7 linked regions of the Kluyveromyces lactis genome follow. The protein of the gene in region 4 purifies or fractionates together with the protein of the main gene of each other region. This does not show direct contact. Links are inferred from orthologs where the notes say so. Each region holds a gene or a part of one and is shown on either strand. Other genes may lie near its edges. The genes, in order: UTP13, UTP8, ESF2, UTP21, UTP20, RRP6 and UTP15.

What was found.
Region 1: the proteins of UTP21 (region 4) and UTP13 purify together in Saccharomyces cerevisiae (affinity purification with mass spectrometry; 6 studies listed by BioGRID). This does not show direct contact. The link is inferred for Kluyveromyces lactis from reciprocal best matches to the Saccharomyces cerevisiae genes UTP21 and UTP13.
Region 2: the proteins of UTP21 (region 4) and UTP8 purify together in Saccharomyces cerevisiae (affinity purification with mass spectrometry; 3 studies listed by BioGRID, with this or other methods). This does not show direct contact. The link is inferred for Kluyveromyces lactis from reciprocal best matches to the Saccharomyces cerevisiae genes UTP21 and UTP8.
Region 3: the proteins of UTP21 (region 4) and ESF2 purify together in Saccharomyces cerevisiae (affinity purification with mass spectrometry; 3 studies listed by BioGRID). This does not show direct contact. The link is inferred for Kluyveromyces lactis from reciprocal best matches to the Saccharomyces cerevisiae genes UTP21 and ESF2.
Region 5: the proteins of UTP21 (region 4) and UTP20 purify together in Saccharomyces cerevisiae (affinity purification with mass spectrometry; 3 studies listed by BioGRID). This does not show direct contact. The link is inferred for Kluyveromyces lactis from reciprocal best matches to the Saccharomyces cerevisiae genes UTP21 and UTP20.
Region 6: the proteins of UTP21 (region 4) and RRP6 purify together in Saccharomyces cerevisiae (affinity purification with mass spectrometry; 3 studies listed by BioGRID). This does not show direct contact. The link is inferred for Kluyveromyces lactis from reciprocal best matches to the Saccharomyces cerevisiae genes UTP21 and RRP6.
Region 7: the proteins of UTP21 (region 4) and UTP15 purify together in Saccharomyces cerevisiae (affinity purification with mass spectrometry, with the first as the bait; 4 studies listed by BioGRID). This does not show direct contact. The link is inferred for Kluyveromyces lactis from reciprocal best matches to the Saccharomyces cerevisiae genes UTP21 and UTP15.

What each region holds. Positions count from the first base shown.
Region 1 is NC_006042.1:1,222,813-1,227,229, reverse strand, and holds UTP13 (U3 snoRNA-associated protein UTP13), read right to left. Parts: upstream 3,053-4,417; coding exon 608-3,052; downstream 1-607. Other genes in the region: RSA3 (Rsa3p), read right to left, coding at 1-268; KLLA0_F13222g (uncharacterized protein), read right to left, coding at 3,597-4,417. UniProt on the Saccharomyces cerevisiae protein: Involved in nucleolar processing of pre-18S ribosomal RNA.
Region 2 is NC_006041.1:412,725-416,782, reverse strand, and holds UTP8 (Utp8p), read right to left. Parts: upstream 2,601-4,058; coding exon 657-2,600; downstream 1-656. Other genes in the region: KLLA0_E04687g (uncharacterized protein), read left to right, coding at 1-605; SYF2 (Syf2p), read left to right, coding at 2,841-3,506; KLLA0_E04621g (uncharacterized protein), read right to left, coding at 3,605-4,058. UniProt on the Saccharomyces cerevisiae protein: Involved in nucleolar processing of pre-18S ribosomal RNA. Also has a role in nuclear tRNA export. It acts between the steps of tRNA maturation/aminoacylation and its subsequent translocation out of the nucleus.
Region 3 is NC_006039.1:1,673,007-1,676,000, forward strand, and holds ESF2 (RNA-binding ATPase activator ESF2), read right to left. Parts: upstream 1,712-2,994; coding exon 830-1,711; downstream 1-829. Other genes in the region: putative GTPase NOG2, read right to left, coding at 1-460; KLLA0_C18887g (uncharacterized protein), read left to right, coding at 2,377-2,994. UniProt on the Saccharomyces cerevisiae protein: Involved in the small subunit (SSU) processome assembly and function, and in the 18S rRNA synthesis. Required for the early cleavages at sites A0, A1 and A2. Stimulates DBP8 RNA helicase ATPase activity.
Region 4 is NC_006038.1:252,566-257,247, forward strand, and holds the start of UTP21 (rRNA-processing protein UTP21), read left to right. Parts: upstream 1-1,881; coding exon 1,882-4,682. Other genes in the region: inositol polyphosphate kinase VIP1, read right to left, coding at 1-1,339. UniProt on the Saccharomyces cerevisiae protein: Involved in nucleolar processing of pre-18S ribosomal RNA and ribosome assembly.
Region 5 is NC_006041.1:1,543,124-1,547,899, reverse strand, and holds the end of UTP20 (Utp20p), read left to right. Parts: coding exon 1-4,742; downstream 4,743-4,776. UniProt on the Saccharomyces cerevisiae protein: Involved in nucleolar processing of pre-18S ribosomal RNA and ribosome assembly.
Region 6 is NC_006040.1:113,259-117,834, reverse strand, and holds RRP6 (exosome nuclease subunit RRP6), read right to left. Parts: upstream 3,123-4,576; coding exon 888-3,122; downstream 1-887. Other genes in the region: IZH2 (PAQR-type receptor), read right to left, coding at 1-366; PHO80 (Pho80p), read right to left, coding at 3,932-4,576. UniProt on the Saccharomyces cerevisiae protein: Nuclear-specific catalytic component of the RNA exosome complex which has 3'->5' exoribonuclease activity and participates in a multitude of cellular RNA processing and degradation events.
Region 7 is NC_006042.1:1,275,086-1,278,807, reverse strand, and holds UTP15 (snoRNA-binding rRNA-processing protein UTP15), read right to left. Parts: upstream 2,277-3,722; coding exon 714-2,276; downstream 1-713. Other genes in the region: SLD2 (Sld2p), read left to right, coding at 1-564; AIP1 (Aip1p), read left to right, coding at 2,836-3,722. UniProt on the Saccharomyces cerevisiae protein: Involved in nucleolar processing of pre-18S ribosomal RNA. Required for optimal pre-ribosomal RNA transcription by RNA polymerase I together with a subset of U3 proteins required for transcription (t-UTPs).

The sequences.
Region 1 (4,417 bases), on a different chromosome or scaffold from region 4:
TTCCCTCTTTTCGGCTGGCTTTTTTATCGTCCAATGCAGCTTCATCTTCTTCTTTATCCATGTCAATATCTGAAAGCGTTACATCTTCAACATCAGATGCAGCTTTCTCCACAGTTTCGAGCTTAGTATCATTATCTTCTACCGATGAATTTTCAGAATCGGAGCTGGAATCAGAACTTGAGTCGGACACGTCTTGCGTTCTTCTCTTCTTTCTTCTGTTCTTCCTCTTGTTCGTCTTGCTAATAGCTGCAATATGTCCCTCTGACATGATAGTTTCCGATAGAGCTTCTCGTTAATATGGAGGAGAGTTAACTTTAAAGTATAACTGTCAAAAATTCACAGTTGAAGTCACCTTTTAACAGAAGAAGGATGAGAGCCGATCTCATCTCATCTCATCTCATCGCTTCACATCGTCTAGTTATTTGATGAAGTTTCTTTTGCAGGGAAACAAATTCTGTCTAAAACTCAAAGCCGGGTAACAAACTTATTATTCTACTGATGGATGGCCCTTGACTGGATATGGTATCTATTCAGAGTTGATGCGGTGGGTGTGTTGTACTGTTATATGTATATATCTACATGACGACTAGTGCTATATTTACATTCTTTATAGCAATTTGTCCATTTGAACTAAAGCGTAATCTAAGATATAACTTTCTTGAACCAAGTTATCCATTCTTGAGTAATGTCTCTCTGCGTATGAGATTATTGATTCAACGATCCTTACAAGCCCAGGAATTTCGCTCAACTCTTCAATATTTTGTCTTAGAAGAATACACCTTATCATCTTTTGGGCTACTGTGTGTGTTCTTGCATTTGTATTCCAATCTCTGCACCTTTTCACTAAAAGAAGAAGTTGATCTTTATCTAGAGTCGACACAACCTCGTCAATTTCGTTGTTGAAAACTACATTTGGATCCTCATTTGAGTTGTCTACACTTTGTCTTAAGACGTTGTACAATCTCATTGGGTGATCCAAGGTCATGGCAAGCAAAAATGCGTTAGTCCAGTCACCTTCTGAGAGATAATTTTGTAATGATTGTTCTTGTTCAATCTTCAGTTTCTCTTGCTCGAGGTTACGTTCGTGTTCCTCTTCACTGTTATCCCTCCAGAACTCAAAGAAGCCGTCAGCATCTGCTGTAACGAAGGATTCACCATCGTTCATAACAGCAAGAGCCCAGATACGGTTATTGTGAGCATCTAGTGTCTTGACCGATTCACCAGTTGATAGATCCCAAATAATAACTAAACCATCAGCACCAGTACTTATCAGTTGCTTGTTCTTGTTTATGAAGGAACATCTTTGAACTGCATTGGTATGTCCTTCCAAAGTTTTTACGACGGCATATGATTCTAAGGACCAAATTTTGATGGTCTTGTCACCGGAACATGTGGCCAATAACTTGTCATATTGACAGAATGCAACGTCCCATAGACCACGTTTGTGGTTTGCTAATGTGGCTTGGAATTCACCATCATCCAAATTCCATATTTTACATGTCTTATCGTATGAAGCCGTGGCAAATAGAGAATCATTAGGTGAAATGGAGATAGCATTGATATCCTTTTCATGCGCCCTTCTGGTATATTCTGAGGTCTTAACAAGTATTAGATCTTCGGGTTCATCAGATGTCACCTTAGGAACCTTCCATTTCTTTATGGTCAAATCGTTAGAAGCTGTAATTATGAATTCAGGCCATGAACGTGGCATAACATTAGGAAGTCCAACAGCATTCACAGAACCTACATGACCGACAAATTTAGTGTATGGATAAAAGTCTTCGTACTTTGCATGATATCTCCATAATATAACGCTGTGATCCTTGGATGCTGTAGCAACCCAGAGACCATCAGCGGTGGCATCCAAAGAGTTGAGTAGATCCGTATGACCCTCGTACATCTTTACTTCAATAGGAAATGTTTCTTTGTTCTCCCCATTTTCGAACTCTTCCTCCGAAGAAGTTGGGGTTGGAATTATTCTAAGAGTAGGAGAGTTAGTAGCTAATGCTAATTTATCCCGTTTTGGACCAACGAATCTTATATCTGCAATGGTACCATGATTACCTGCAATCTTATTTTCCACTTCAATTACTTCAGATTCCGATTGTAAAGCTGATTCAACATCTATTAGGAACAAAGTTTGATCTGAAAATACCAAGTACTGCTTAGTTCCGTTCAGGATACATAGTGTACCAATAATAAATAGCTCTTCAATAGGTTTTGCTGTTTTCTTTAATACTCTTCCTGTTGACAAGGACACTAATTGGTAAATGGCACCACCACCGGCTGAGTAAACCACATCCGGGTCCTGCGTAAATCCACACGATTCCACCTGTTCTATGACAGGGATGGTCTTCAGTAGCTTATACTTTTTCGTCGAATTAAACTCGAAGAGATTTAAGATATTGTCTCTACCACCAGATAATAACTGCAGCGTTCCCTTTTCTTCATCAGTGACACGGAAATCTAGCCCTCTAACAGCTGTAGTATGTTCCTGAATAGTGCATTGACAATTACGTTTAACTAAATCCCAGACTTTAATCATACCGTTGGTATCACCAGATGCAAGCTTCCAAATTTCACTGTTCAACTCACCGTGAAACTTTACACTTGAAATGGTAGCACCATGTCCTTTCAAAGAGTGCGTGACATATCCATTTTCAATATCAATAACACTAACACTACCATCAGTACCACCTATAGCCAAAAGTGTAGATGTTTGATCGCAATTCATGACGTACACCGGTGACGAAATCTTCATTGATCTGATAATTCTTTCTTGTTTCAAAGAATACACTCTGAGCAACTGCGCTTGTGAGACAAAACACAAATAAGAACCATCTGGAGTTAAATGCAATGCGGTGATGTCTTGTTCATCCTCAGTATCAACAGAATGCAACACTCGGCGTGGGCTATCTAAGCTAACAATGTTGATTTTATCGACGACCGAAGTCGCTAATAATCGTCCATCTTCAGAAACAGATGCTATAGCACCAGTACCAGCATAAAACGGCTCTAGTTTCGTGGATGCATAGGTAGTTCTCAAATCCATTGTGCGAGTGGGAGATCCAAGGTGCTGTCCTGGGTGCTAATAATTGGCCAGGTATAATCTTATTGGTTCACCTAGCATATTTCTGTGATGCGATGAGATGAGATGAGATGAATTAAACTTTTCAACATTCGAATTGAACAAAAAAAAGAAAAAAACGTAGACAATGAGGCATGGGTTATCATATGCTTGAAACAGAAAGAGATTGAACATATACAAAGGAGCTGAAAACCGGGAACGGTCTTTAGACAATGTTTATTTGCACTTACACATATTTGCTAAATATTTGCTAATATTCTAATGGATATGATTTTAAAGTTAATTGTTGATTTATGAGAGAAGTACAACACTCCTCTTACGGAAAAAATGGTGAAGCTGAATAGAGCTTCACAGAATGATATCTATGTAGATTATATCCAAGAAAGTGTAGTAGGTAGAATACAGATAATTGTAGTTTATGGTTATGCTTTAGTCGAGTAGTTTCGCATCAGCAGCAGTGGTAAAACCAAGGAATAAAAAATAAAATCAAAGGAAGTGAAAATGAGGGTTAACTTGGGAGTTCTGTTGATCCTCCGATGATTTCCTCCAGATCAGCTAGCGCCGTCTCACTGAAAAGTCCATTCTTGGTTACTCTCATATGTTCAGCAGCAGCTTCGGCGATACTGTTTCTTCTTCTCCATGCGGCAACATGGCTCATTTGTTCATGGTTAAAATCAATTTCTTCAATCGGGGCAGTCAGAGAAACCAGGAGATCTGCATCGTCACTGCCTAATAGATCAATATCTCCATCTTCATCTCCATGATGAGAAAGTATTAAATCATCATCAGATTTCAGCAGTTGATCAATTTCATCCATTCCTAATCCCTTCACAGAATTCTTCCTCGTTGGTAAAACCAGACCGTTGAAATCATTAGGTGTGTTTCCAGCATCTGCATCGGTGAAAACACTTGAACTTGGACTAGCCAAATTCACGCTAGAGGGAGTTTGAATGTTGTTGTGAGAATCTGCGTTGGGTTCAGTTTCAGTTTCTTGTTCAGGAGCAGTGAGCAATTTTTGCTTTTCAATTCTTTGCCTTTCCCTTCTGATTTTCAAGAGCTTCTTTTTCTTCTTTATCTTCCGTCGCTTTTCATCTTTCTTTCTTTGGTATTCCTTCATCTTATCGATCTTCCTTCTAGTCCTTTCACTACCAACGTAACCAATTGGGAACTTGCGTGCTGAAAACACAGGAAGCATGTATTCGTCTTCTTGATGTTCGAAGTTGATGCCTTTATTTCTGAAAGCAGATAATGGAACAGATGGTTTGTGATACCAGGTGGCAATCTCTTTATTCTTAGAATTCGAGTCAGCGCCATCTTCATTGTTTTCAT
Region 2 (4,058 bases), on a different chromosome or scaffold from region 4:
ACGCACCTTTTGATAATTGGGACTCTTGGGAAAAATTCAATGGTCAGCATGGGAACTTGAGACGAACTGGCCCGTTCACGTTGTTTTATGGCGATGCGAAGTCGGACGAGTATAACGTAATCGACTACTTAAAGCATTCCACTAATCCGTTTGAAAAGATGGAGCATATGGTGATATCCAACGACATTTTCCACTGTGCTGTAGGTGAACACACAAGTAGATGGAATAAGACGGAATATGGGTACGTTTTACTTGATGCGTTGGCGAAAAATACTACGGGCATTGCCAAGGAAGAACTATTGCAGAAATGTTTTGAACTTTTATCAAACCATACGTTTAATGAGGGCGAAGATGTGGATTCTGTGACGACTTCCAGTATTTATGTACCGCCTTTAAGAATTACTAAAGGTGCAGACGCTATTGGAACTTCATTGCCAATAGGCGATTACTATGGAACTAGATCCCAGATTGTCATACTTGTCGACAAAGATAACAGAGTTACGTACGAGGAGCATGTGATTTATGAAAGTGATGAGGATTGTGAAACATACTCTTTCATGGATCCAAAAGAGGTAATTCAGTTCCAGTTCAATATGGAAAGCTGATGAAATCATTTTACGAAAAGTTCTAATGTTTATGATTATACTACACACTTATTAGCATTCTAAATAGTCCACTGTGTAAGCTGAAATAGGTTGTGTAGAAGACGAATTTGTTGATGAATTAGATTTATTGTTAACAACCGATGAATGCTTGGTGTAATGCTCTGCCAAATGCAAAAGTTCTATGTTTTGTGACACTACAGAAACCTGCGCATCGACAAAAGAGGAAAGTTTCTCTAAATATTCATCGTCTAACGCAAACAAACCGATGGAATCTATTATTAAACTCATAAGTTGGAAGATTTGTGGCTTATTAAGTTTCAAGTCCGAATCTGCCTTATTCGAGTTCAAAATCATATCCAAAAAGTTTGTGATATCCATCTTCTCAATTTTTCTTATACCTGCTTTGATTGATTCTTTCTTGTAATCTTGTAGCACTCTTAGCGTAATATCAAAACAGAGCTCTGCATTCGTTATATTGAAAAGCTCGGTTAACAAATCGTCAAGTGGAACATTCGGACAAGTAACAATAGCTTGTTTGAAAAGTCTTGGGTTATTTTTCAACTTGGTTAATAAGCCCTTAGCGTGAACCGGTGGGAATAAAGGGTGTGTTAGAAGGTATGTCAATGCTTTTGGATATTCATCCTTGAAATTTAGAAACAAGCAATCGATTATTTGAGTGAGTAAATCAGAATCATTTAAAAATCTGTCATTGTCTGTATAATATTCCTTGTCTAAGGAAAGCATCTTAAAAAATATAGAATCAAAGTTCTCTATTTTTTTACAGATATGGAGTTGTTTTATAATGCGTTCATAGTCTGGAGATGGCAATTCCACATCGTCGTCCTCATTGCTTTCTTCAAAGAGTTTCTGTAGTTTCTGCTTTTGTTTAACCATGAACCCTTTACCCATCGCATCTTTTAAGGTACCGGTACCAACATCAATGTTAATAACATCCAAGTAACTCGTAGGGTTAGCACCGTTTTTAGTTGTAACATCTAATGCTATAGTTTTTCTATTGTCTTCAGAGTTTTCTTGAACAACTGCAGTAGAGAGTAGTTGAATAGCTTTGATGTTCTGTAAATCCTTTTGGAATAGTATAGCATTGTATAACAAATCCACAAGATATATGGTATTATCAGCAGTCAACAATACACGGTTTGAAGAAACTGGTTTGATGGATACAACTGCATCCTTGGAAATGAAAGGTAGCTGAATGCTAGTTTGTAGTTGCAAATGTGGTAACTGATAGATTGATAATTCATTTGAGTTCTTTAAAACATATAATTTCCCGAACTCAAAACACAACTTTGCATTCTCTAAAGTGTAATTTTCTAGTATGATAGAATTTAGTTCAATACATGAGACGGACTCACTCCTAACTTGGAAAAGTTTGTAACAGATTTTCTCATCACTTAGTTGGCATAACACGAAAAAGAAATCGTTTCCCTGCCCATCTTGGAAGAATTGAACAAATCTGATATCATCATAAGATATATCAATAGTATTTGAAAGTTTCAATTCATAATCAAATGTTTGAATCAGTCCATTCCTTAAGATAACGAGAACTTTCTCTGCTTTAGAATAGATCTTAATGCTAACGACTTCAGATTTTAGTTTATATTTGAACTGAGATGTGATTTCAGCATTTGAAGATGACACGGCATCTTGAATCATCGGCTTAGTAGCCAAGTGTAAATGTGATACCTTTCTAGCTTCCAATCCGTAACACCAGACTTCTGTATTGGCTGCATCTTCTACCACGTCACATGCAGTAACAATGTTCGTAGAGGGGATTGGCAAGTTAAAAACCAGCTTCGGGGTTGGATTAATCAAGTATTGTGATATACTGGAACCTGATATACCAATATTCACTTTATTGGCTGATGGTGAAAGATTATCAACAACTTGTAAGTAGTCTGTTTGATTCGCATAATTATTCAATGATGGAATCTTAGGTAGAGCAGAGAGCCTAAAAGGCTGTGAGATGGATGCCATTTTCTCAATATCTTTCGATAAATAATATCAAAGCAAACTGTATTGAACACAGGATATTTGATACTTCACCTCGTCCTTTCAAGAGCAGCGGTTGAGTGTATCTTTGCACTTACAGCTCATCGCATCTCATCGCATCTCATCTCTTCTTCTGAGTACTTCAAATTTTTCAAACTTTACTTTTGGGAGTCAGTCCGGGTAATATATAGTGTCGAAATGCAAACAGAAACAAGATGAGATGCGATGAATATACTCAGATATCTTCCAGGTGACAGAAAGTGTAGCCCTTATTTGAATGCCACAAATCACATTGTAAACTGGACACAGGCTGATAATAAATATTCGAAGATGAATGATCTAATGGAAATTGAAAAAAAGTTGAAGAGTTTGCGGAAACAAAAAGTGGAAGTAAGTATAAGGAATAAGAAGGCCATAATAGCTGAAGAGAAGAAAAACTCTGAAAGAAGAGTATACAGTATGGCTGACGATGGCGAAGATAAAGCTAGAAGTAACAAAAGCGAACCAGAAGATCCGATAAAATTGGCAAACTACTCAATACGCGAATATGAAAAATGGGAAGCTAAGACACAGAATTCAAGACATAATAAAAGCGTGATGGGGGACTTCCAAACTATAGCAAAGAACAGCTACAAGAAGGAAGTAGATGCGCTTCCGAAGGATATATCACATCCGTTGAAAGGTGGAATAACTGAGGATGGGAAGGTTCAAGTAGAAGATAATCCTGAACTAGTAGAAAAAATGGTGAATGATTTGAACGAACGATCAAAGAAAAGGTATATGGTACGGAAACAAAAACTAGATAAACAAAATAAGATCAATTTGGATGATGGATTTATTAATGACAAGAATAAACGGTTTAATGCAAAATTGAATAGCGAGTTCAAATAGGCATGGGAAAATAGGTATATTGGGCATTTACATATGAGATATTTACGATTGATTATGAATAATTATTTTATTTTAACGATATATAGAGGTGGATTTCTTCATTTGTCTTCAGAATCTAGTGAGTTAAGGACTTCTAGATCTTCTTCTAAGCTCTTGACACATTGCTTGTAATGGATCAATTGGAAATTATGGAACAACTTAACCAAAGAAATGATCTCAGAACTATCTGTAAGTTCTCCCAAGAATTCCACAGTTTCTGAGGTTGCAGACACGAACTGATCTTCTAATCGTTCGAAAAGCTTAGAATCAGGATCTTCTTCTGTCTTTGCCATATCAACTGGTTCCTCATTGGTTTTCTTTTCGGGGGTTTCAGGGGTTTCAGTTGCGACCTTTTTTTCAGCTTCCTCAGAGGATGCTACAACCTCTTTTTCCTGCAGCTTCAATTTAATTTCATGACGTAAAGTATCAAAGTTCAATCTTGCATCTTGAACCTTAGCGCGCAATTCGTGACCTTTCTTGAAATCAGTTTCAATAAGTTTAGATAGTTTGGCG
Region 3 (2,994 bases), on a different chromosome or scaffold from region 4:
CAGCGATTCTTGGTTTCTTCCTCTGAGCCTTAGGCCCAAAAGTTTGTTCAAAGGGCTCTGTCTCCAAAATCTTTGCCGTTGGAGATTCAGCGGAATCCTTTTCGTTCAACAACGACATCGGAAGTTTATTTCTTCTCAATAGCACCTGATAAGAATCACGCTTGTTCTCGCCCAAAGCTTCTCTGAAATGGCTCAATGAATCCTGAGAAATAACTCTGGTATTACCAAACCATCTACGGTCAGGAGCCACTCTTGCTGTTGGAGCAGCAGTATCCTGCAACGGAGCAGCCTTGATAATGTCACCCTTTGCATTACGAACAGATCTACCACCTTTGTACATGTTCAAAAACTGCACTCTCTTGGTGTCCCTGTAGAAATTCTCACCCTTCACACGAAGGTTACCATCCTTGGTATTACCTTCGCGGATTCTCCTTTGCTTTTCCTTCTTACCGGTACCCATTGTGCCTTGGTATAGATTTCAATTAGGTTTCCTTTGGTTCGTTCGTTTGTTCGTTCTTTGTGGTAACGAACACGTTCAATTTCGATCGAAAACTCAAACAGATGGAAGAATAAGTAACTGAATGTCTCTTGCCTGGACTGAGATCAACCTGAATCGAAACAAACCACTGATGAACCTGCCTTTGTTCCTGTTCCAATTCATGAGATGAGATGAGATGAGCTGGAAAATTTTTTCTTTTCACTTTTTCTTACACTATGGGAATGAAAAAGAAACCTGATCTTTGACCATGGGAATGGCAGGCGATGAGTTGTACTCTCTGTAGGGCTTTTGGCTTGGCTATATGCTTTATATATGTGTTATATAGTCATCTTAGAATAAACTATGCATGACATCGTTGAGTGCTTTCGATTGCGGTTGGGATTGTCTCTGAGAATCTGGAGCAGATGCTCTTGTCGAAGCGACTTTCCTCTGTTTGAAAGTCCTGCGAACTTCTTCATCGACCTGCTGTGATTCTTGTTGGTTACGTTTCTTGCTCTGTTTCATCTTGTTGACCATCTTTGATTTCTCTACGTTATGGATGAACTCTGCGTTCAACTTGTTGGCCTGTGAGATTTCCAATTGTAGCTTTGCTTGTCTGATATCGTTTTCTCTAGCGATTTGTTCTGTCAAATCGGCCCATTTGAACCCGGGCAAGTATTTAACGTTCATGACGTCGTCATGGTAGAAATTTCCCTTCTTACCACCGATAATATTACCGTTTAGAGTCGATGCGCACAGTTTAGCGTCCTTCTTTCTGATAAACTCGGCCCAACCTTCTTCAAACATCGTTTTCTTGTTCCCACCACTCTTGACACGCTGCTGGTGCTTGTGCTCCTCTTCACGTTTCAAGAACAGACGGTCCACTTCACCGAATCTTGTGAGAATCTGCCTTAGCTTGGCTGGTTTCATGTACGGTGGAACCCTCGATAGGTAAACCACACCGGTCTTGTGTTTCGTCTTCTTATCGCTCTTAAGCTTTTTGAGTCGTCTCTGCTTTTCTTTCTCTATCTGCTGTTCTGTGAGTTGTACTACCTTATCCTCCGGTTCTTCTTCATCCTGTACTTCCTCGTCCTCTTCCTCTTGCTCTTCCTCGTCCTCTTCTTGATCAAACTGAATCACATTCTTCTTCGCATCCTTCCCAGTGATCAACACTTGGTTGTCCTCTTCTTCGTCTGACGCAAAATCATCCACATCGCTGTACTCCTTGCTCATCGTGTTATTGTTGTCCTTAGTTAACCTGCTGAACCTTGTGGTCTGTTGTCTCTTCTCTCATGTATATGGTTCATCTCATCTCATCTCATCTCATCGCTTTAGTTCCAAATTTTTCAGTATGGCACTCACTGTACAGAAGAAATGGGAACCAATCGTACTGGACGACGGACCGATACCACAATGAAGTAACGGGTCTGTAGCCGGTGTTTGCAGCCTGTATGGCCGGAGATCGCGAACTTGATCCATGTCTGCTCTTGCTGCACGCTTGAGCAGCTTTCTCAGTGAGGTGTGCAGGTCTTACATACATATTCTATATAGAAACGGCTTAAAACTACGTCAAAGCAGGAACCTCCCCACTCTCTTGGCGTAGTTCCCTCCGCTTTGCTACCAGAGTTGCCATTGCCATTGCTCATTGCCATTGACATTGCCGTTGTCGTTCCACTGTTATCCGGTTTGTGACAACTGGTGACTGGATTAATAATAACCCGACACGAATGGCAAGAAACCGGAAAAACCTTGTCCGTTCGAGAGATTAATCCAGATATATAAAGGGGAAGTGCTTCCGATATAGATGAACAACACATGTATCCTTGATCTAATTGGCTTGACTTGTTGATTTATAGTCGCCCCAATACAAACAACACACACTCGATATATTTTACAATATGTCTGCACCTTTAAACGTTGGTATTGTAGGTACCGGTATCTTTGCAAGAAACAAGCACTTGCCCACTTTCCAACAGCACAGCGATAAGTTCAAACCAGTCGCATGTTTCAACAGGACCAAGAGTAAAGCAGATGCGTTTGCTGTCACTGCTGGTATCGAGGAGTCTAAAGTTTACGCAGATTTGGACCATTTGTTGCAAGATGATTCCGTTGACGTAGTGGATGTGATGGTTCCTGTTCAATTCAACTATGAGACTGCGAAGAAGAGTGTAGAAGCTGGTAAACCGGTGATCTTGGAAAAGCCGATTGAAGCTAACTTGGAACAGGCTAAGAAATTGGTTCAATTGGCTGAATCTACCGAGCTTCCAGTTGCTATCGCAGAGAATTGGTTACATTTAGAATGTGTGCCAATAATGAAAGAGAAATTGGCTAAGATTGGTCCAATTGCTGCGTTCACTTACAATTCCACTGGTCCCTTCTATCCATCGAGTGAATACCTGGCTACCAGTTGGAGAAAACATCCAGAACACATTGGTGGGTTTTTGTCCGACGGTGGTGTTCATCAACTTGCGTTGTTGACTACTCTATTGGGGGACATCGGTAGCATTGCTGCGTTT
Region 4 (4,682 bases):
CAGTAATATATCTAATTTCCTTTCCGTGAGTGTTTCTGCGCACAATACCATCGACTACAGGGGATTTTCTGGTTTCAGCATGACAAAAAGTTTCACCTACAGTGTATGCTTTCACATCTTCGAAATTATCGGTATCCATGAATTTTTCGTAGATGTATGAACCTTCAGTACGAGGTTGAATCAAAGTAGGGTCAAATTCGGAAGATTTATTACCGACCTTTCTGAATAATCTACGCCCACCGCCTCCGTTTTTCGAATGATAATAGATGTATATATTGTGATCTTCACCATCCACAGGTTTTTCAACGAATGGTTTGGTCATCACCTTACCCTCAACTTCCAAGGTGTCATCGTCCACCATTCTCCAGTTGGGTTCTTGAACAGTTGAAACAATAACTCCACGTTCGGCAAGCATAGATTTCAGTTCATCATCAATTTTGGGACCACCATCTCTTGTAATTTCCAATCTAGGAGGGGTAGGTACGTTGCTTGCCGCCAGCAACCTGAGACACAACCTTCTATCCCACAATACTTTTTGCATAATCAAATCATTAATGATATATGGTTTTCTTAACTTGACATATTTGATAGCCTTTTCTAGAGGGAACCCATTGGAAAAGAATGATATTAGAAAGTCGCAAGTAGGCCAGTTTTCAATGCTTTCATCCAATATAACTTTATCGCCAAAAATTATAGTCTCAAACTCACCGTGTTCAATTAGTCTGTTTAAGATATGTCTGCATGGCTTGGATAACACTTTCGCATCCATGGCACAAACACCAATTTTACCAATCTTTGGTAGCTGAGGCTTGGACGAGGAAGTTGAAGCTTTCCTCGAAGAATTTGTCGAACTTGGAGTTGTTGATCCGTCAGTGTTGGTTGTGACAGCTTCATTAGAGACTAATGCTTGCGGAATGAAGGGGAATGCATGAGGTTCTTCCAGCATAGGAGATGGACTAGGCGATCCTTCCAGAATAGCAGAAACTGATGCTGATCCACTTTGGTTACTTTTCAGTCTTTGAAGCTTGTTACCATTCATGCTATCGAATGAGGTGCCTAGGACACTGGGAGTCATATGACGACCTGTCGAACCAGTAGAAGAAATACTAAGCGTTCTGACGAGCTTATTTGTCTCATCATCATCATCAGAGGTAAAACCAGCAGGTGGCAACTTCAACGACTTATTCTCACTAGAAGAGGTCTTCGGCGTGAACCCTTCAAGGATAGGAGCGATCGATTCCATAGCCTTTTTCGTATTCGAATCTAAAAACAGTGGAGGCATGGTATTTCCGTTGATTGCCTCTTGACCCTCATCAGAAATTGAACCTGGAGAAGACATGACTGGCAGTTCTGCAATTTGATTATAACCAATGCTGAAACTTCAGTTAAAATTATTTTGTAGATCGTTGCAATTAATCGATTTCTGTTATAAGCGGATGCATGGTACGATTATTCCCCATGTGTTTAATTTTGTATATAAATTTATATGTGAAGGATAATAGTGAAAACTTGATAGAAAACTGTGAGTAATTCTGAAGTAAAGACCAGTATCTAAGCAACACCTCCATGTGTTTCGCTAGTGAGATTTCAGACTGTGGTATGGTTACTATCTAATGGCATCTAATGGTGAAGTTACATAGTATCTTCTCTATCCAAGTCTAAGAATCACATTTGCAGGTTGATCCCCCTTATGTGTCACGTGATATTCTGATTTCTTTTTCTGTTTCAGCGATGAAAATTTCGAAGCTCGACGTTTTAAAGAAGCGATGAGATGAGATGAGATGAGATAGATACCTATCGTCAGCAGCTAATTACTGGATTCGCTTGTTGTTCAGTTAATTAAGCGATTGCATAAAGTCACAGAACAGTGCATTAGCAATCATGACAGTGGATGGATCGTTAAAGAAACGAAGAGTTGGTTCTTCCGGCGCTGTTAGGAAACATGCTTCCAGAATATTTTCTCCGTATAGAATTGTAGGTAATGTATCTACTGGAGTTCCTTATGCGATTGGTACCCTAGGTACGACCTTCTACATTGTGACTTCTGTTGGTAAGTCGTTTCAGATCTTTGATGCCAATAATTTGCATCTGCTATTCGTTTCAGATAAGGAGACAGAGGGAGACATTACTTGTTTGGCAGCGCATTTTCATTACGTTTATGCAAGTTTTAAGAATAAAGTTGGGATCTATAAGAGAGGTAAGCTAGAACATTTGATTGAATTACCTGATCCAAATACCGTGGTGACCAAAATTAACGTTTTCGGTGAATATTTGATTGCTTCTACAGATAATAATGTTGTTTATATCTATAAGAAAAATTCCCCATCTGATAAATTCGCTACTGAATTATACACCAATTTCACCATTGGTAAGTTACAAGGTGGTGATATTGTTGATTTGGTGCATTTACCAACATATGTTAACAAGTTGCTCGTTGTGACTAAGTCTAATTTCACCTTGTTTAACGTTCGGACCGGAAAACAATTGTACACTTCCGATGAGTTCCCCGATGAGATCACCACTGCTGAACCTGCACCTGCTTTAGACATCGTTGCCTTTGGTACATCATCTGGTGAAGTTATTTTATTCAATTTGCGTAAGGGTAAGAAAATCAGAACCATTAAAACGCCGACGAGAATTTCTTCAATCTCTTTCAGAACGGATGGTGCTTCTCATATCTCAGTAGCATCAACCAGTGGTGATTTGATCTTTTATGACTTAGATCATCGCTCACGTGTTCAAGTGTTAAAAGGCATTCACAAGGAAGTGAATGGTGGTGTTGCAAGAGCATCATTCTTGAACGGTCAGCCGATCGTTGTCACTTGTGGTGGTGACAACCAGTTAAAAGAGTTTGTTTTCGATCCATCCTTATCGCAAGGTGACTCTGAAGTGGTCATTCAACCAGCCAGATTATTAAGGTCAAGAGGTGGTCACTCTCAACCTCCATCCTCTATTGCATTTGCTGACGATCAATCTCATTTCATTCTTTCTGCTTCAAAAGATAGATCTTTATGGGGGTTTTCCTTAAGAAAAGATGCACAATCGCAGGAATTATCGCAGCGTCTGCATAAGAATAAAGATGGAAATAGGATTGGTGGAAGCACCATTGGTGAGAAGTTCCCTGAGATTACATCAATAGTCATCGAAAATAACAGACAAGGCCAATGGGAAAACATCTTGACGGTTCATAAAGGGGAAAAGTTTGCAAGAACATGGAACTCGAGAACAAAAAGAGTTGGTAGGTGGACAATCCCAACTAATGATGAGGGGTTTGCGAAGAGCGTAGCTATATCACAATGTGGTAACTTTGGTTTAGTTGGCTCTTCAAACGGTGGTATTAGTGTTCACAACTTACAAAGTGGACAGAAGAGAAAGGTTTATCGTTTACATAAGAAGGCAGTTACTGGTATTGCAATGGATGGTATGAACAGAAAGATGGTGTCATGTGGGTTAGATGGTATTGTCGGATTTTATGACTTTTCCAAAAGCACTTTTTTGGGAAAGTTAAAGTTGGATTCACCTATAACATCAATGGTATACCATCGATCATCTGACCTCTTCGCATTAGCATTAGATGACCTTTCCATTGTTGTCGTAGATTCGGTTACTCAAAAAGTGGTCCGTCAACTCTGGGGGCATTCCAATAGAATTTCATCATTTGACTTCTCACCTGATGGACGTTGGATCGTTTCTTCGTCATTAGATTCCACAATTAGAACCTGGGATTTACCAACAGGTGGATGTATAGACGGTATGAAAGTGGAAAATGTCATCACTAACATTAAATTCTCACCAAATGGTGACTTATTGGCTACCACTAGTGTATCTGGTAATGGTATTTCCCTCTGGGCTAATAGAGCTCAGTTCATTTCAGTATCAACCAGACAGATCGACGAAGAAGAATTTGCCACTGTTATGCTTCCAAACGTTTCCGGAGATGGTGGTTCCAACTTTTTGGAAGGGGCTTTTGATACAGAGGAAGATGATTCCGAAGATCTCTTTGGTAAATATGACTCGATGGAGCAAATTGATAAAGATTTATTGACTCTTTCTTTGGGACCAAGGAACAAGATGAATATCTTACTCAATCTCGATATAATTAAACAACGTTCGAAACCAAAGGAGGCTCCAGTTAAACCAGAGCAGGCTCCATTCTTCTTACAACTTGCAAAAGATAAGGTGGGCGATGAGGCTTCAGCCAGGGAAGGCGCTGAGAATTTGAGTTTGGATTCCTCTAAACTACAACAGGAGCGAAATGCTGCCAAAGCTAATGCTGCTAGTGAACTGAATAAATTCAAACCTTCAGGAAAACTTGGTGCTCAGTTCGAATCTGATTTCACTAAGCTACTTAGAGAAGGTTCGCAGAAAAACGATTATTCAGCATTCCTTGACGAATTAGTCCAGATGACTCCCTCAAATATTGATTTGGAGATTCGTTCTTTGAAAGCTTTTCAACCATTTGATGAGCTATGTCGGTTCATTGAAAGTTTGGCTCAAGGTTTGGCTACCAACAAGAACTTTGAGTTATATGAGGCATATATTACCATCTTATTCAGAGTGCATGGTGATGTAATTCATTCTAATAACACAAATCAAAATATCAAGACTGCTCTGCAACATTGGGATACCAATCACCGCAAGGGCCAATCATTGGATGAATTGGTAAAATTCTGCGGCAGCGT
Region 5 (4,776 bases), on a different chromosome or scaffold from region 4:
CCAAAACTATCCAAAAGCAAGATGAAGAAGCTGTTATGGGTTATATTGTGAGAATTCTCTTCGGCCGTGTTCAAACCCCAAATACAAGTGGTCTCAAGAAGAGCAGGAAAACTGCAGTAATCACTATTTTGCCTAGTTTGGAAAACCGCTACATTATACAGTTTTTGCAGCTCGCCACGGGAAAGTTCAAATATGAATACTTCTTTGAGAATGGGAATAAAATTGACCTTACTTATGCGACTTCTCTGACCTTAAGAAAGATGCTTGGTTTCATCAATGTCGTTAATTCGTCATTGGCAGTGTTGGGTTCCCAATATCCCGACGTGATGAAAACTGTTATAAGGCCTCTAATATATGCTATCAACATGTCAAACTTTATTGTTTCTGAAAAGTCCGATGAGCAATTTGTCGAAAAGGTAGCATCTAACTTGAGGCAAATAGGACATAAGTGTTTGCATAATCTCTTTAGTCAACTAGGAGACGTTTTGGATTGGAGGCCTTTTACTGCTGACATATTCAATAATGTGATTACACCCCGTCTAGAGAAATTTGAAGATGAGAACTTGCAACAGGTATCATCTGTCATGAAAATTATTACATACTGGGCTGAACAAAAATCACTCTACAGTTTCCTATACTTTGATGATTTGTCTGCTGTAGCTGCCTTGATGAAAACATTACAAAATTCAAATGCAAAGGAGTCTGTAGTGGGTGTGATATTGAATTTCTGTAATAAGATAATCAATAACCCTGACCAGGACCCAAAGTATGTTGAGCTAATCATTATGATAGTTACGATTTGCTTGCAGCAGTTGCCTGTGCTACTACAAAGGTGCACGGAAAGTACTGTTATTTCTGCTGCAGTAGACTTGTTGCTAAATATCACCGAACTTGGTTATGTTGAAGATAACGAAACAAGAGAATTGTTGGTGGGTTCATTGACTCAAGCATTGCAAAAAGATCTCTCGCAATTCACTGTGAAAGATAAAGTGAAACTTTTGAAGACATTATCAACTTTGATGGATAATTTCGACTGTTCGTTTTCACAAGTTGAACCATTGTACATTGCCGCATCTAAATTATACAGATCTTATTCTGATAAGGATCTCAGACAGGCATTGAACAATATTTTTGTGAGCATTGGTGCGAGGTTCAACGAATATGAGGCTGTTGGGGCGCTGTTGGCTGATTTAAATTCGTATTCGACCAGCAGAATGAGAGAATATGACTTTGAAAGAAGATTACCGGCATTCAAGCGCTTCACAGAGAAAGAATGTGACTCTTACACAGAAATGCAATGGTTGCCTGTAATCTACTCATGCTTGTTTTTCATCAATGACACTCAAGAATTAGCTATTAGAACTAATGCTTCTCACACATTAAATCGATTTGTTGATTGTATGAACTCAAAGCTCTCAGTTGAAGATGCAAGTGCATACATAGACATAATGAAAACCATCATTTTACCAAATATCAGGTCAGGTTTAAGAAAGAACATTGAAGAGATTCAAAATGAATATATCTCTCTCATTGCTTATATTGTCACAAACTCTCAATATCTGTTTGAAATTGAAGATATGAAAGTTCTATTACACAATGGTGATGAAGAAGCTGATTTCTTCGTTAATATAAACCATATTCAGTTGCATCGTCGTCAAAGAGCTGTCAGACGTCTAAAAGACTATGCTCCAAAGCTTTCTGACAACAGTATTTCGCACTACTTAATTCCTATGGTCGAGCGCTATGTTTTCTCTACCGAAGAGAAGTACAGAAACATTGGTAACGAAACCCTTATCACTATCGGTACTCTATCGAACTATATGTCATGGAACCAATACAAAGCCTTATTCAGAAGGTACAGCTCTATGTTGAAGAAGAATACTGAAAAACAAAAGGAAGTGGTTTCCCTTCTTGTCAATATTTCTGTTTCCTTAAAGAACTCTTTACAAGCAATGAGAACTGGAGATGAATCCCTACCAACACTCAGAAAGTTCCCAAAAAGCTATCAAGAACCGGAAGCTTTCATAACAAAAGATATCTTCCCTAGCTTGAGTAAGATCTTATCGACTAGAGATGACGAAACAATTGTGTCTAGAGTTCACTTATCAGAAGCATTAGTGAACCTCGCATTGGGCTTGGAAAAGGATGACACTGCGGCACTTTTGCCTGGTATTTTAACCAGTGTATGTCAGGTTTTACGTAGTAGATCGGAAGAATTGCGTGAGGCAGTGAGAAAGAACTTAGCAAATCTTACTGTTATACTAGGCCCACAATACTTATCTTTCGTCATCAAGGAGTTAAAGTCAGCTCTTACCAGGGGCTCCCAAATCCATGTTTTGAGTTATTCTTTGCATTTCGTATTGATGTCAATCTCTGAAACCCTTGTTCATGGTGATCTTGATGAATCTGTTGGTATGATAGTCGATGTTATCATGGAGGATATTTTTGGTGCTGCTGGTCAAGAAAAGGATGCAGAAGGATACACATCCAAAATGAAAGAAGTCAAATTTAATAAAAGTTATGATACCGGTGAATTGGTAACATCCAACATCACCCTCCCAATGTTTGGGTCGTTATTGCGCCCTGTCAATGTATTGTTGCATGAAAGGCTTGCTCTAAAATCGCAAAACAAACTCAATGAATTATTAAGAAGGTATGCCTTGGGTTTGAATCATAATCAAGAAGCGTCATCTCCAGACGTTCTCAAATTGTGCTATGAGATATTTAATCAATCTCACTCAGACAAGAGTAATAGACCCAATAAAGTCAGAACCACTAAAGATGAGCGTGCAGATTTCTTTTTAGTTGATCTTAACTTTAAATCAGGCACTGTCCAGAACGATACAACTATTTACGCTCATACTTTGCAAAAATTCTCCTTAGATCTATTGAGAACGGCTGTTACCAAAAATGCCAACCTAATGGAAGTTAAATATCTACAGCCTTTCATCCCATTAATGAAAGAAACTCTTGTATCTGATAACGAGGGTGTTGTCATGGCTACTTTACGCCTTTTGACTATAATAATTAAGTTGGATTTCGAAGAAGAAGCTGAGGCTATATTCAAAAATTGTGCCAGAAAGGTCTTAGAAATTGTCAAGAATTCACCATCAACATCATCAGACTTGTGTCAGATGGGCCTCAAATTTTTATCAGTCATGCTCCGCCATAAAGATATTCAATTGAAAGATACTGCCCTGGGTTACTTGTTAGGACGTCTCCAACCTGACTTGATGGAACCTAGCAAACAGGGGTTGGCGTTCAACTTCGTCAAAGCCTTGCTATCAAAGCACATAGTACTTCCAGAACTTTATGATGTTGTAGACAATATTGCGGAAATCATGGTTACAAATCATTCTAAGGAGATCAGAGATGTTGCCAGAGGTGTGTACTATCATTTCCTTATGGAATATGATCAGAGTAAAGGAAGATTAGAAAAACAGTTCCGTTTTATGTTGAACAACTTGCAGTATCCATCTCAGGAAGGTCGTCAATCAGTCTTAGAACTCGTCAACTTAGTCATTAACAAATCTGGTGCAGAACTTGTGAAGAAAATTTCATCATCTTTCTTTGTTTCCTTGGCGAACGTTTGCGTCCAAGATGATGCCCCGAAGTGTCGTGAAATGGCTTCCGTTCTTCTTGCCTCACTCTTTGAAAAATTGGGGAAAGCAAATGTAAAGGAAATCGAAAAGTTCATTACCGCGTGGTTAAAGCAGGCTGACAATGAACAATTTTTGAGTTTGGGTTTAAAGATCTACAAGATTTACCTGAATAAACTTGGAGCTGGAGTAAACCCTTCTCTTGACACATTAGCGATAACTCGTGTGAAGTCTATTATTTCCAATACAAACGTCGGATCAGATTCTTCATGGGACCTCGTTTATACCGCATTATCTGTCTTCACTGTTTATGTTGCTAAAAATGAAGGCCAAGCATTCAGTAGCGAATTTGATGAGACCTGGAAGCAAATTGCCAACTGTCTGTTATACCCTCATTCTTGGGTTCGTCTCTCGGCTGTTCGTCTCGTCAATCAATTGATTAACAATCTTTCCAAGCTTGAGGCTCCATTGGATGACTATCAAATTCAAACGATCGCATATAGAATTTTCCGTCTGTTGGGAGCACCAAAATTACCTGAAAACTTGTCGTCAGTTGCTGTGAAGACTCTTCTAGTTATAATCATGAAATGGAATGAAAATAATACGCCGTACATTCATAATTCAGAAGAGAATTCAGTGTCCAGATATTCAAACGCGATAGAGTTTGCCATTGCTAGAACTGGTTGGATAATCAGAAGTGAGGATAATCCAAACGATTCTCATAATTCGAAAAAAGCTGCCATTCAGCTGGCTGCATTAACCATGCAGATTTTGAGCAGCGAAAGATTGTCAGAAGAGGCAGAAAAATTCATTATGCCATTATACATGTATGTTGAAACTAATGTTAACAGATTAGACGAAGATCAAGAGGAGCTTCATAACTTGGCTCAAGAGTGCATAAAAATCTTGGAGTCCAAAATATCTGTATCAGCTTTCACATCAGCATATGCTAGTGTTAAGCAGCAGGTAATTAAAAGAAGAGAAGAAAGAAGAGCAAAGAGAGCGGTTTTAGCTGTTAGAGCGCCTGATGTAGCAGCTAATAGAAAACTAAAGAAGCATGCAAGATCTAGAGAAAAGAGAAAGCATGAAAAGGATGAAAACGGATTCTATCAGAGAAAAAACAAGAAAAGAAGAATTCCATAATTGCATTCGGGATTTATTAATCGTTAAGTAGCCC
Region 6 (4,576 bases), on a different chromosome or scaffold from region 4:
AGTTGCGCACCCGAAGAAGAAGAGATTTATCATAAAATAATCAATTGCTGAAGTCGTAGGGTACTCGTTGATAACATGATGCGTAGCAAATAGCATAATAAAGAAAAGGGCTACTGCAGGTATAAGGTGTGTGTATATGTTAACACTTTCATTGTGAAGATAGAACAATGAATGGAAAAGCTCTTTCCAGCTCTGGGTCTCTCGTACATAGCCATGCAGGATGTGCTCATTATCCTTTTGCCAATCTGGAATTTCATCCCAGGAATAAACCCTTCTCTCATAAACTCTTACAGTTTTCTTCGTTCCCGGGGTCTCTTCGATGAGGGCGGTCTCTTCAGTAACAACGGACCGTTTTCTAGTGCTCATAGTTCAAACTAGGATTTCAGATAATAGGATAGATAAGCTCTTGGAGTCGTACCCGTTTAATTTTTCTGCTCTTTATGTTTGATCAAAGCAGTTCATTGCAGTATGCATTAAAAATTCAATCTCATTATATATACTACTTAGGGCTAAATCTCTTTTAAATGCCATGAGATACCCTTATTTATACACTCTTATAATTCCGCGTAGTAAACAAAATTTGAATATCAACATTCCTTTTTGTCAGTTCCAACATTTTCGAGAACTGTTGGCTAATCTGATGCACTGCACATGACTATAGATGAAGAAATTAGGATAGACTGACTACTGTGAAAAGACTCCTTGCAACTGGAGGATCTTATGGGCAGTCTCAGAAAAGCTCAAGTTATCCAATCTGTGTCTCAATGCCTAGGCAGAAGTAGCTATTTCTAAGGAAAAAAACTATTACGCAAACGAATTAGTGAGCGAAATTAACCTGTAAATATGACTAGTTCGATATTTATACCATTAGAGCTGCTCAAGATGCTCTATCTTTTGAATGAGACGTTCTTACCCTTGGCAGGTTTTGATTTTTTCTTGATAGGCTGTGGACCGACATGTTCAACAGAGTAAGGATCGAATCTTCTTTTTTTATGCTTCTGTGAGTTTGTATTATTCTTTGTTGAGTTCAATAGGTCGGAGCCAGCAGCATAATCCATAATCTCATGACTTGCAGGTGGACTGATAGTCTTTCGTTTGTTGTTAGATTGAGATTGTCTTTTGCGCAACGTAATTACTTCATCCTTGTTCTCTTCAATCTCTTCCTGAGAAGGATCAGACGTGATGACTTCATTTCTGTTTTCATCGTTAGATACTTGCGTAGGAGCTTCATCCTCATTTGACGGTAGCACAATACTCTGAGCTTGTCGGTCAGTGTATTCTTGTTCTAACGTCCTTGTTATTTCATGCTGACGCTTTAATAATTCATGTTGTGGAATGAGCGTTCTCGTCTTTGGTGTATATCTGACGGCAGTATTCACATCCAAGTTTGAAATACCATTGAATAGGACAGATTTCTCTGAATTTTGTTCGTTATTCAGCTTTTGAGAGTTTATTTCCGAAGCAAGTGAATGAAATATATTCTGAATGGATTTAATTTGGGACGTTGTTATTATATTGGCCAGATCGGTGCCGTTACTTTCGGCCGATTCCAAAAGTGGGATCGCAGAAGAGTTGGAATTTCCTTTGAGATCCTCTAAAGTTCTTTTGATCAAGTTTGCAATGACCTTCGAATTTGTTCTTAAATGCTCTGAAACGTATGAGCTGACAGACAATACGTTAATGGGTTCGGTTGGTGCACCAGCCACCAACGATACAAGTAGTTGGTTTGGCATCACGTAACGAGGAGATTCATCATCCCTCCTGGCGATTGTATCTCTCCATTCATAAAGTCTACGGAGAAGTAATTCCTTTGAAGCCGGAATATTGTACTGAAACATAATATTCTTCCAAGGTTCATCCTTTTCAATAGGTGAAAACACTGCTGAAGACGGAACCTTTGGTCTGAAACTACTATATTCAAATCTTCTTTTAGCCACTTTTCTCGATTCATGCAAAACATCGGACATCTTATTCTGTTCCAGTAGAGAGTTCCTTAATTTATCGAAAATATTTAGGAGAAAATGCGTATCAGCTCTTGCATATGCAAGCATAGGCTTGGTCAACGGTCTGATTCTCCAGTCTGCCAGTTGATATTTTTTTGAAGTCTTGAAATTAGCAAATCTTTCGAGAAGATAGGCCAGACTGTGTTTTGGAAAACCTAACATCCTGGAGGCATGATAAGTATCAAAAAGGCCAACAATATATAAGCCTAAATCACGTTGAAGCCATATGATATCCATGAATGCACCGTGCAGAACTTTAGTAACATTAGGGTCGGTAAAGATATCATTCAATATGTAAAGTTCCTCTCTCAATGCAATAGTATCTACAATCCAATCATGCTCCCGGTCACTAATTTGCATCAAACAAACTATACCATAGTAAGACCTATAATCATGATGTTCTAAATCGATTGCTAATTCTGTGGCTTTACTTAATTCATCTTTCATTTTGTTAAGGCCTTCAACGGTGTCAACCCAAATTGCTTCAGTTTCATCCCAGTCCTTTGATGGGATCGGTTCTGTTGCAACAAGAATGGAGTCATTGTATTTTTGGTGGTCGATCTCATATTCGTATGGATGTGGGTAATGGGACGGGATGGATTCCTCTTCTGGGACCATCTTCAATGAAATTTCGAACGGTTGTAAACTATGGGGTTTGTATTCCAATAATGGCTTGAAAGGATGAAGTTCTGTGTTATCTACAGGAGTTTTAAAACTTAGTTGAGGTTTTTCAATCCTCTTGGATGGTTTATTGTTCGAACGATCATCATCATTTAGATACTTAAGTGATGGACCTCCAGCGTTTCCACCATTTCCGGCTCTAATGTTGTCAAGTGCATGATCAGACTTTTCAAATAAATTATCCATAATATTACTTATGGATTTCCAAGAATCCACAAAACTGTCTTTCCCTTGCTGAATTACATCATTATTGGGATCAATAGACAAAAGCAAGTCGTTGATTAACGATAAAATGTTCGTAGAAGTGTCTTCTAATGATGCATTAATGTTGGAATCTAAACTTTTGTAGAAATCGATATCCTGTGCAGCCAATGCACTCGATGATCTCACAGTTTGAACCAAACTGGAAAGTAACGTATCCTTATCCTCTGAAGACATGGTGGATTAGAGTCAGCTGGTAGTCTACGGGGGATTCAAAACGGGGCGAATCGTACTGCCCTCCAATATATTACTGTCTTTGACTACCAGATGAGATGAGATGAAGAAATATTCACTAATCAAAAGAAATCAGAAGAATTCAAATCCGGGTAAAATTTAGATGTTCTCTGCTACTGATGAAAATGATTCATTCAAAGAGTCGGTAGTATTACAGAGAGAGTCAGACCACGTATCACCACCGCCGCCATTGCCTTTCAACGGCTACGTTATAAGTTAATTGGCTACTAGAGAACTAACTATATAATCTTGCATAACTTCTGCTTCCTCTACGATGTACGGATTTTTTTTCAACTAATGTTGCAGCATCTCTCATCTCAATATTATAAAATGACGCTAGAAGCAGACAGCATCAGCTGCTCCATTTTATGGCAACCAATTAAGTATAGCTATATAGGGCGGCTAACCTGTAAGAGTAAAGATGGCACAATTGAAGGAAAGTAATGCAAAATCCTGAAACATTTAAGTAGTGAAACTATACTTTAATACTACATGCTTTTTCATTGTAATCTTGGGTAGTGATTCAATAACTTAAAAGTGGGTCAATTAATGTCTAATTTCCGTCTAGACATTATGAAGTGAATATTGATGAGTATTGCTGCGATGAAAAGAACATCAACAAAAATGGGAAACCATTTCAGTATCGTAAAAGACTCATAACACATTTTGCCAACCATCTTCACAAATTCAGCGAAAGATAAATTGAATCCGAAGTTGATTCCATCCTGGCAATGAAATAAATTAAAGGAAGGTCAACTATTGAAATGACTTGAAAGCTTTTTGCCGTTGCGTAGCAAAGTGCTCTTTCTATCCATATTGGTCGGATCATCCTCCTTCATATTTCTCTTTTGTGGAATGGTGATCGGAGGAGAATCACTATTCTCATTAACAGAAGTTTCTCGGGAACGAGTTTTCCGGTGTTCACTCAGATTAAAGCTATCGCCCTCGGTTATAGATGGTGAAACGATCCTGCCCGTAGTGGATATAATGTTTGTGTTTAATCTACCATTTCCTTTATCTTTAAGATTGTTCTTGATTGTTGTACTAGGCGGTACCAAGGTGCCACCAATGCCAGGATTCATTGGATCGACCATTTTGAAGAAGTATGTGGAAGTTTTATCCGGTGAGTTCAATGGATTTCCAACGAGTTGAACAATCTTCCTGTAATAATTCTGTAAAACATTGAAACCATTGTCGGGACCTCTCTGTGAAGCGTTTTTCATGGGTATCAGCATATTGGAGCCCAATTTTTGTTCAATCTTACAATTTTCGATATTATCATCTCTTGGGATAATTCTGTATCTGACTCGTTCCAAAAACTCATTCTCAAGGATATTTAGTTCACTGCATTGTACGCCTCCAACCTTAGAATAATGTGTGTTTGTACAGAACGAGTC
Region 7 (3,722 bases), on a different chromosome or scaffold from region 4:
GGTAGAACCCTGGATTTGAAAAGTTCTCCCTTCAGCCCATCGCCGCTGATTAAAAGGCCGGTGAAGACACTGTCCCAATTAGCGAAGGAACATGCCATTATAAAAGACGAATTCGAATCTAACCCAGAAGATTTCAGCGAATTCACTGCGATTAGAACGCTTATGGAAAAGCTGATGCAGGAAGAACATATGGATATAATTGAAGAGGGGGACGAGGGAACTGTCGGCAATGAAACTGAGAGCAATTATGTGCGGAAAGTTAAAACCATAAAGAAAAGAACAAAAGCGAAGATGAGACCAGCAGCATTAAACGAGAAGTCGACCAACATTCCAGACAAAAATGTTCATGAACAGCTAGCAAAGTTGAAGGAACGTGAGTACAATAAAATGCTGGGTAAAGAAGTGGAAGAAAGTGAGTCTGACTCTGAACAACAATCCAATCCACCCGTAAAGAAGAAGCAACGTAAGAGTAAATACAACCTTGTTAGCAACAACTTCAAGCGTTTGAATCTTCCAACAAAGGCAGGAAGAAACAGAGCCAGTAAATGGAGAGGAAGAAGGTGATTTCTTCAAAGTCAGAACGTTAAAAACAAAGAAACAGACGTAACGAACGGGATGATACAGTTGTTGCAGTCTATGTACTATAAATGTAAATAAATATAATCTTTTACACGCATTCCTTTTTGTTATAGATCAGTGTAGAAAGGATTTTATCAGTTTGTTAACAATTGGAGCATACCCTCTATCTTTTGTGCTTCTTTTGCTTTGCGGATCTCTTCCCTTACTCTTTTCTTTAGAGTGATTACCATCTCTTCAAGTACTGGGGACTTCTCCAGTACACTACCGTAGAGTTCAATTACAACCGCAATCCAGTCTGCAACAATTGGTGCACTTCTAACATCTTCTATTCCCTTCAAGCACCAGTTGAGTAGTGGTTCTAGAGAACTTTCGTCTCTACCGTATAATGCAACCTTGATTTTACCTCTTTTCCTTAGTTCTTGTAATACCGTTAAAGTTAATTCTTTAGCCATACCGGGGATAAATGCAGAATCTAATGCGTCAGACCATTTGAATTGGTTGATATGCCTTTCGAATTGACGCAACTTACGCTGAGGATTTGGCTTATCGTTGTGTATAATATGCTCTTGATCACCTCTGTATTCGGACCCTCTCATCATTCTCTGGAAATTGTTGGATTTCGCAGACTTCTCTTGCTGTTGTAATGGTAAATCCTCCAAATCAGAGACATCAGCGAGGTTAATCTTTTTGGACTTCTTCTTCGTCTTGATGGCTAGAATTCCTGAGGATAAACCTGCAACGAAATGTTTATTACCTTGCGCATCGCCTGGTGAGACTGCACAACTTAGCACAGCGTTGCTAAACTTCCAGCCAAACTTGAATTGGAAGTTCTCCAACGGGGAAAAGATCTTAACATGACCATCAAGCGAGGATGCAACTAGTACGGAACTCATTGGTGATTCTTCTCCCATATTTGTGTAATTCAAACAGGTGACCGTCTTTGCGAAATTTTGACGTTCACAAAGGGCTCTATCGCTAGTCAAGTCCCATACTTTGAACCCGTTACCACCACACGATGCAAGCTGAGTAGGAGATATGGCTGTGATATCTTCCACAGGAAGACCGTGATCCAAAGTTGTCTGTGGTTTATCTGATTTCGTTCTAATATCGTACAATCTAACTACTCCATCGTACGACCCTGTAGCGACCATATGTGGAGCATTTGGCACAAAGCAGACTGATCTAACATAATCAGATGCTCCAGTTAACTGTAAAGTGGGTTCATAAGCATGAGAAACATCCCATAGTCTCACTACTCTATCGTCGTTTGCCGTCACCAAAGTCTTGTTATCCTGATCGTGAAACTTCGTCACATGCGTAGGATGCGACGAAGCTTGTATAGAAAGCAACAAAGTACGTGGATTATAACTATCATAAACGGACACTAACCCAGTAGCGTCACCTGCTACTAAAAGTTTACCGTCTTGACGGAAAGTGGCCGAATGCACCACATCTTTAAACCTAGAAAACGTCTTGATCACTTGTCTTGTCCTTGACGAGAAGACCTGTACCCTAGTAGAAGAGGTAACTGCAAAATCATGTGGATGCTGGGGATTGAAGGCAATATGAGTCACTGCATTGTGCTCTTTAACAAGCTGAGTAGATGAATAAGACCTCCAGTACCTCTGCTCTGGGGTGGTCTGCTTTGGTAACACAGGAGCCTTTACCGGCGTCACTCTAGGTCTCACAGACGACATTTTCTTCACAATATTTCTACCAATCTGATCGCCTGAATCACCTCTATCACTTAACAGTAGTCTGACGATACCAAACCGACTGATATAACTCGCAAATTACAGGGAAATCTATTTTATCAACCATGCGATGAGCTAAGGCTTCAATCATTTTTTTTTTCCAAAATCTGGTTTCTTTTCTTTGAAGACTCGAAGAATCTCGTTGATTGTGATTTTTCAGAGAAGAATAACCGTTCACTGTACTTTACAAGCAGATAAAGGGCCTTTAAGGCCCTTTATCTGCTTTTAACCTGGTTTCCCAGATTTTCTTGATTCCCAGGTATTCAGCAATACCACTTTCATTATACTAACTGGTATTTAGGATATCTTTTCTTTGTATTTCTGCATCCCAGTAGTTATTATTTCGTCTATTTACATTCCATATGTATGGAATTTATTTATACTCACCAGTTTATCAAGAAACTAAACCATGAGAACAGGACACGTTTGAGTCAGGAAGAGGTCTTTCTGGTGCGTTTACAGAGTGTTCCAAAAGTCAATTGATCTAGTATCTCGCGATAATATGGTTTCGATTAATTTAGCAAAGGTTTTTGCACCTCTCCCTTCTACAAAGAGAAACTTTACGACACATTTATCATATGATCCAAAGACTGACAGTTTAGCTTATGGTAGCGGTAGATCTGCCATCATTAGATCTTTAGATGGTGAACATGTCGTTCAATTCAATGGCCATGGTACCAGTAATGTCACTGTTGTAAAATTTTCTCCTATCCAGGGGTCTCAATATGTTGCTTCAGGAGATGATTCCGGTAGAGTTATCGTTTGGTCTTGGAATCAGGACGATAAGTCTGGAGAAATTGAGTACAACGTTAAGTCGGAACTACATGTGCTCGCTGGTCCTGTCGCTGATATATCCTGGGATTTTGAGGGTAAAAGATTGGCTGTTGTTGGTGAAGGTCGTGATAGGTTTGGTGCGTTTGTCTCTTGGGACTCGGGCAACTCGTTAGGTGAAGTCTCGGGTCACTCTCAAAGAGTCAATGCAGTTCATTTCAAGCAAAGCAGACCAATGAGAGCTTTCAGTGTCAGTGATGATGGTTCTGTTGTGTTTTACCAGGGTCCACCTTTCAAGTTTGCAAGCAGTGATAGAACGCATCACGGCCAAGGTAAATTCGTTAGAGACGTCAAGTTCTCTCCAGGTGCAGGGAAATATGCTGTGTCTGTCGGTAGCGATCGTAAGATATGTTGCTTTGATGGTAAGACTGGTGAATTTATCAAATACATTGAGTCTGAAAAGGCTCCAATTGGCGGTGGTTTGTTTGCTGTCGCATGGTTAGACGATGGTGAAGAGTCTTCTAGAGTTGTTACCGTGGGTGCTGATTGCACTGCAAGGTTGTGGGATGTGTCGTTGGATGATCCATTCCAACAGTCTTGGAAATTAGGTGCAGATGT